2 linked regions of the Tribolium castaneum genome follow. The protein of the gene in region 1 purifies or fractionates together with the protein of each later gene. This does not show direct contact. Links are inferred from orthologs where the notes say so. Each region holds a gene or a part of one and is shown in the gene's direction. Other genes may lie near its edges. The genes, in order: Tcs5 and Nup43.

The links.
Region 2: the proteins of Tcs5 (region 1) and Nup43 purify together in Homo sapiens (affinity purification with mass spectrometry; 3 studies listed by BioGRID and IntAct, counting the BioPlex papers as one, with this or other methods). This does not show direct contact. The link is inferred for Tribolium castaneum from reciprocal best matches to the Homo sapiens genes TP53RK and NUP43.

Annotation. Positions count from the first base shown.
Region 1 is NC_087394.1:35,200,151-35,203,144, reverse strand, and holds Tcs5 (EKC/KEOPS complex subunit TP53RK), read left to right. Parts: upstream 1-1,602; coding exon 1,603-2,280; downstream 2,281-2,994. Other genes in the region: MED23 (mediator of RNA polymerase II transcription subunit 23), read left to right, coding at 1-488; uncharacterized protein LOC658853, read right to left, coding at 548-591, 638-1,177, 1,223-1,319.
Region 2 is NC_087398.1:14,041,639-14,046,130, reverse strand, and holds the start of Nup43 (nucleoporin Nup43), read left to right. Parts: upstream 1-1,652; 5' UTR 1,653-1,754; coding exon 1,755-1,976; intron 1,977-2,046; coding exon 2,047-2,515; intron 2,516-4,492. UniProt on the Homo sapiens protein: Component of the Nup107-160 subcomplex of the nuclear pore complex (NPC). The Nup107-160 subcomplex is required for the assembly of a functional NPC.

The DNA of each region.
Region 1 (2,994 bases):
TAGAAACGTGGAATTTTGACTGTTCTCCCTTCCGTTTGTTCGATTTCAAAGAAACCCACGCTGGGCTTTTGCATAATAATTTTAGTTATATGCTAGCTTTGGCTCATTCGGTTTGGCATCACGCTGGTCCGGGGCAGATCGCCAGTGTGCCCCGATGGGCGCGTGAGTGTTTACCGGCTGTGGTACGGTCCGAAGAACAGTTTCTCTATGTTTGTCATCTTGTGGGGCCCTTTTTGCAACGGTTTAACGTGGCAATAGTGGAATTGACGAGTGCTTTGTACGAACTGTTGGCACAAGTTGACCACGCGCACAGCGAGTTGAAATATATGGACCCGATCTGCGATCTCTTGTACCACATTAAGTACATGTTTGTGGGGGATAGCATGAAGAAGGAGTTGGAGACTGTGGTGCGCCGGTTAAGACCGCCTTTGCAAATGAGGTTGAGGTTTATCGCACATTTGGCGATTGAGGAAGTTAATGCATCGTAACTCACTTGTATTATGTTTTTACATTTACGTAAATACATTTTTATAAAAAAATAAAAAACTTAATCCGATTCACTCTCCCTTGAACTTGGAAAATCCGGTTTCGCTAAAACAGTTTGTTATTTAATTGGTAACATTTCGTCGTTACATACCTTGTTTGGCCAATTCTTGCTGTTTTTGCTCATTTTCTATATATTTGGTCTGTTCGGCAATCACCGATTGGCTGTCGCTACAATTTGAATATACCTCCAATATATTTTTATTCAGTTCGATAAATGAATGTCCCCACGAAAATTTATCTAAATACTGCCGAGCTAATTTTTTGTATCCGGTGATGTACAAAGTTGCGGCTATCGCTTCAACGCAACTTAATTGGCAAGGTCGCCCGTAATTGATGGGGTTTGCGGCCACGAGAAACGGTAATAAGCGCCCATGTTGGGGCTTGAGTGCTGCAATGGGTGTCTCGTCGATTCTGGCCCATGAGCAGTCCACCACGGCTACCCCCTTGCTTGAAACAATGTCGCGATCATTGGGACTTACGCATTTAGTGCCAGTCGGGGTTAATACCAGCCCTGGAAATTTTTGTTTGACTTTTAGGGTTTTAATTAATTTTAGACGCGATAATTTGCGGCCTGAACATTTCTTGGGGTCACATTGATTAAAATCCCACATGGCAATGGGAAAGTCGGGTACTGAAATATCATTTTAAGTCTAGTTTTTGGGGGCTGTGACGCTACCTTCTTCATCGCTGCTTTCGCTACTTGAGTCATCGGAATTATCAGTCGATGATGAATTTATTGTTGCGTTCTCAAGGCTCTCCTCGACAGAAGTCATGCTTTACTATCAAGTAAAAAATTAAAATGCGACTATTTTTTAGGTTAGATAACATAACCCATAAATGTCACGTTCAGTTGAACGTGTGAGTAGAATTTTTTGTTATTGAGTAATATTAATACAAAAAATTGGAAATTGTAATGTCTTAGAGTAATCAGTGTAATGGAACGATAAACATAATTGATCAGCTCGTAATTAACAATAAATATTTACAATTACGTAACCTCACTTTTTTGTGTCAACAGCAAGAGTGAAAACTGGAATTAGTTAAAAACTACTGCAAATGGAAGGGTTCGAATTGTTCAGACAAGGTGCCGAGGGCCGAATCTTCAAAGGAGTGTATTTGGGAAAACCCGCAATTGCCAAAGAACGATTCGTTAAGAAATACCGGCATCCGGATCTTGACTCACACTTGACCAAAGAACGGATAAAAAGTGAAAGTCGTTCAATAATTCGGTGTAAATCTGCCGGAATAAGGACCCCCGCCTTATATTTAGTTGATTTCAACCGCCGTACTATTTTTATGGAGTACTTTGAGAACAGTATCGTGGTCAAGGATTTCATAGCACAAGCAAGTAACGAAGTTATAAGTAAGTTGGCGTTAAAAATTGGGGCTGTGTTGGGCAAAATGCATGCCAATAGCATCATTCACGGGGACTTGACAACATCAAACATGCTACTTGTTAATAAAAACGGACAAAAGTCGTACAGTAACTTGCAAGATTTAGAGCTGATTTTTATTGATTTTGGATTATCTCACGTAGAGTCTAGCGCTGAAGATAAAGGGGTTGATTTGTACGTGTTGGAACGAGCCCTTATCAGTACACATAGCACAGCTAGTGAAATTTTTGACCAAGTTTTGGAGGGCTATAAATTAGAGAATAAGTCAGGGTTTAAGGAAGTTTTGGCTAAATTTAAAGAAGTGCAAGCTAGGGGCCGGAAGCGTACAATGGTTGGTTGATTCATTTATTTATAATCTTGATAGCATGCCACCTGCTACTACAATTGTTTCCCCAGTCATGTAACTGGCGTCGTCTGATGCTAAAAATGCAGCTGCGCCAGCTATTTCATGTGGCATTCCCATTCTGTAAAAATAAATTCTTTAACTGAAAAAACTCAATTCGTATTGCAATAAACCTTCCCATCGGAATCATTGATAAAACTTTCTTTTTGTCTTCCTCTTTCTCGACCAGCTATGATTCAAAATGTTATAACACAATAAAAAATGTTTTTGCCTCTTACAAAGTGCGAAAACTTGGTTTTTATTAAACCCGGGGCTATGCAATTAACGGTGATATTTTCTTTAGCTAACTGGGCTGCTGCTGTTTTAGTGAGTCCAAAGAGTGCACACTTGCTCACACAGTAAGCCCCAATCAACTTGAACAAAATTTTAGCTTAAAGTTTGAGTACCTAACTGTTTTTACATCCAAAGGCTGGAAACCACCAATGGACGAGATGAAAATAATTCGACCGCAGCTACTTTTGCGAAGTAACGGTAAAGCTTCTTTCGCTAACATGAAAGCAGCTTTCACGTTTACATCGAAAATTTTGTCCCACGCTTTTTCGTCACACTAGAATCTGGTTTTATGGCTTTGTATTAAAGTAATTGGAGCTAATATACGTCCAAGACCGCCGTTGCCGAGGGGTTTACAGCAGCATTGGAGACCAAAATATC
Region 2 (4,492 bases), on another chromosome or scaffold:
TGCGCAGTGGTGTAAATTTATAGATAAAGGTAAACTCCCAGTACATCCCCGAAATCCCTGTAAATCCTTAAACTTGCACACCATACATCCACAGCTGTTTACAGGTCGTAATGGTTATAAAATAATATAATCAATTTTTATGTAATGTAGAGTCACAAAATATGTATTATTACAAAAAATCATCGATAAACACTTTCTCATGTTTTTTAACAGTAGGTATAGAGAGAATTATTATTGTAAAAATAGTAAGTCCTGTTAGCCTTTTTCAATATTATGTTTTCGCCTAAGATTCCGCATCCAATACCCTTTATGCTTCGTCCTAAACTGACAAACATTATTTTCTTCCAAGCGAAATTGTGGAGATATACTAAAGTAATATTTCATGACAACAATGCAATGGGGCCAGAAAATGATTAGTCTGCAGTAAAAAAGATGTTTATTGCTCACTTCGTCTCACTTTTCAGAACAGATGTTACCATGAGCAGACATGGGGCCTAAGCTGAAGCAAGCCCAAAGAAACCCTAACTTGCGAATCATTTTCTGTCGTCAACTGCACTGTTATAAAATATTACTTTAGTCAATCTTAACTACTCTGCTTGGAAGATAATACAAAATAACTATTTAATATTATTATTGGTTTTAAAATGAGATTTGTGACATACAATAAGGGCCTTACGTTTCACCAAATTATTCTATAAAGTTAAGTGAAACATTTAAACCTGTTCTGATATGTAATGTTCTAAAAACATGTTTTTAAACAGCGTCTTGAAAATAGTCTGTGCAACAGACATTTAATGAGGTTGAAAGTATATGGTGGTGCAGTGTGTGATCTTTTAAATCGCCGGCTTTATTTTTTGCATCATATGAACATTCGCGACATTTAAATATATATTGTTTACAGTACTGAAATAACCATGTCTGTTACTAATAGCAAGTTTTAGAAACACTAATACAAAAAACGTCTCTAAATTGCAACTAACGCAAGCTGTGAATGGAATCACACATTTGATTCAAAGGCACATGTTTAATGTGTGTATAGTGTATCTTATTCAATGGTGTCCCTTTAAATGTAGAAACTGGTTCGTCTCAAAGGAATAATCACGACATTTGTGCTCCTCAAGGGGCTGCTACAACACTAAACTGGCTTAGTGTCTTCCTCAGGCAACAGCTGTTTAATCATTTTCGTCTTCGATTTTTTTATCAATCTGAAAAATTTCTAGGTTAAAAAAGTTGTAAATTGTTTTAGTTTTACTGACCTGTTCCATTTCTTGGCTTTGGGAGAGCTTATCACATACTTTATTTTGTATTTATTACTAAATTCGTCTAATTGCCTTTCATGTAGGGGGGCTTTATAAAGGCCAGTTCTGTTGTTGAAATTTCATGACTGACATCTAGTGGAAAACATTACTGTCAGTGAACAGGTTGCCATGAACGTACACCTACTTCCGTTTCTATAAAATAAACCCCCCACATAAAAAAATCTGTTTTAAATAGTTATTTTATTTTTAAACATAAACTTATTACAGTTCAGCCGTAACAATATTTTCTAAACATTAATCATGTATTCTTATAACGTACTTCTGGCTTAAAAAAATGTAGAGTCGTTAAGCAATTTGTCTTATAGATTTGATACGGAGTATACTCCACCGCACGTATAGTGGGTTGCCTGACAATTATTCAATTATGCTTTCAACGACACAGTGAGGTTATAGCGCCACTTTTTTAATTTTTATGGGCTTAATTATACACAAAATATGGCCCACAACATTCATGGAACATTTGTTTCTGAAAAAGTTAATAAAATCCGTTGGAGGCCCGATTTTATGAATGCCTCGCATTATTTTGTAACCGGCAGTTGGGACAATGACCAAAACAGCATCAAACTTTGGGATTTCCAAGAAAATGAAGAAGATGCCGAAGTTTATCCATTTCTGGTGGCTGAATTTCCACACAACGGGGACATAACTGAAGTTAAAGTATGTATATTACAATCAGTATTGCGATACGAGCCACGTAGCGAGTGAAACAATTTTTGTCATTTTTTAGTTCTTAAACGGCGATTTTTTCGTTGCTTCTTCGTCGTCGGGCTGCGTCAGTCTGCTGAAGATTACTTCCGAACATGGAATTGATCCCTTAATTGAGAGAAAAATTTACTGGGAGGGAGTTCACAAATTTCCCAATGGGGAGAATTGCCCTTGCACTGCCTTTTGCACCTACGACAACGATATTGTGAGCGTTGGCGAAGACGGTTCTATCAATTTGTTAAATGCCCAAAACCAAAACGTTATCCGCACAATTGAAAACGCCGATAGTTGCTCAATTCGTTGTGTGGCTTTTCTGAAGCATAGCGAAATTTTGACCGGTAATTTTCGTGGACAATTGAAGATTTTCGATATTCGGGCCCCTAAAAGCCAACCCGCGACCACTTTCATGTTGAGTGGGGATCAAATCTCGCCATTGTGTCTCCAAAACCACCCTACACAGAGGCATTTGGTGGTAGCTGGCGATGAAGAAGGTACCTATTTTTTTTTTATTTATGTTGGCAAACGCCAAAAATGGTGCCAACTTAAAGGTATTGGCAACTTTCTTTTAAATGATACCAAAATAGTTATTTACATTATACGTGCGGTAGGTATAATTTTACAGCGTGAAGTTTTAATAAAATTGAACGCTGTAAAATGAGTCGTCTAGTTCCAAAACCTGCCGTCTCTATTCAGTATTTTTGTTTAATGTTTAATACAAATGCTGTTGAACAAATAAATTTTAAATTACACTGATATAAAACCTCTTAGAGAGTAGAATTCGATGACCTATACTTTAATTACAATGTTTGAATTTAAAGCCTGCATTTTTTTTAAGGTTGGAGGTGGCAAGTTTTGGAACAAGTTGGAGAGGAGATGGGCGGTTATGGAACAAAATGTCTTTTAAAAATCCTTTTTTTAAGACTAGATAGTGAAATGGAATAAAAAAACTCAAACTACGTATTTGCTGAAATAACATGTGGCTAAAGTTTTAAGTCTTTTAAGGCAAACACATAACTCCAAAAAACAACGCGGAGATAGTTGATTTTGGAACGCATATATAAGATTACTTTACGTAAAGAAATGACATTGATATTTCAAACTTTAATGCAGTTGATGTTAATAACTATTTTTTGTTAGTATTTAGTCCGCCAGATAATTGTGCTAAATCCACATTATCATTAGTACGCAAAAAAATCAACGATAATGGTTCCTTTCGTCTTCAGCTTGCTGCTGTTGATGAAGTTTATGAAATAGTTATAGTGTTGACGAAAATATTTTTATTTTTGATGTTGTGTATAGTTCTGCGTAACTGGCTATGTCTATACCATAAACCAATGAAAACTTCCACAAAACCGCATCAATTATTTTGGGCATCTTCTTAGTACCTGCAAGAGGCTCATTATCTTTTAGGATTCCTTCTTGTAAACAACAATGATCAAAATAATAACTGCAATTGTGGGGTAAGTTTTTGTTGGTTTGCGGTTGACATAGCAAGTAATGTGAGAACTATAAGTATATACCCTATATATACTCAAAATTGACGCCCATGCTTTTAGGATTTGCTTCAGAAGACTAAAACAAATCGAAAGTTAAGAGTGAAAAATTGTCCAATTGTCCTTCGTTATCGAGTTATTGATAAGTATCTAAAATTTAAAATTTGTACATTAAATTTTATTAAAAGCGAATTTACCAAATTTGTTGTCACAAAGTATGCTATAATGCGATTTGGAAACTTTTCCGTGTAGGCCCTAGTCTCAGCAGTGGCATTGCCATCATACAAACATCTTACTTATAACCGAGCTTTTAACATATCGTCAAAATTTCGAATACACTAATAAAGTGGTATCTTATCATTTAACACATACAAAAACGAAGGAAATTAATAATACTCTTTACTAGACACAGTTATTCAAAGAATTTTAATATCGCTAACATCAACTAATCAATTATGTTGCACAAATAATTGGAAAGACAGCTAAAGCTTATTATTTACATTTTTATCAATAACTCTAAAACGAACAATTGGAAAATTTTTTACTCTTAACTTTCGATTTGTATTAATACCCTAAATCAAACTGCCATAGCACAGGCGTCAATTTTGAGACTTTTACTTGTTAGAACGTAATCTATTCAACATTTTTCAAACGAGCGTAAATGGTTGGCTTGGTTAAACGAAACTGATCGAAGAAATTTACATCACTAACAATTTCAAAATAATTTTTCTTTTTCTATAAATTTTTTGTCTTCGCAGTTCGGAAGAAGATAATGAATTAGAAGAAAAAATGAACACTTTCTTAATTTTGTGCAATTCAAAAAACTGACAAATTTAACGTTTGTTAAAGTTGCTTTTGTAATTTGCCGCCGTCTTTACGTCTTTACCTAATCATTATTTGACGAAATATTTTACGAAAATTTTTAGGTTGAAACGCATTTTAAAAATTGAAGTCACTTTTAAAAGTTTAAGTTAC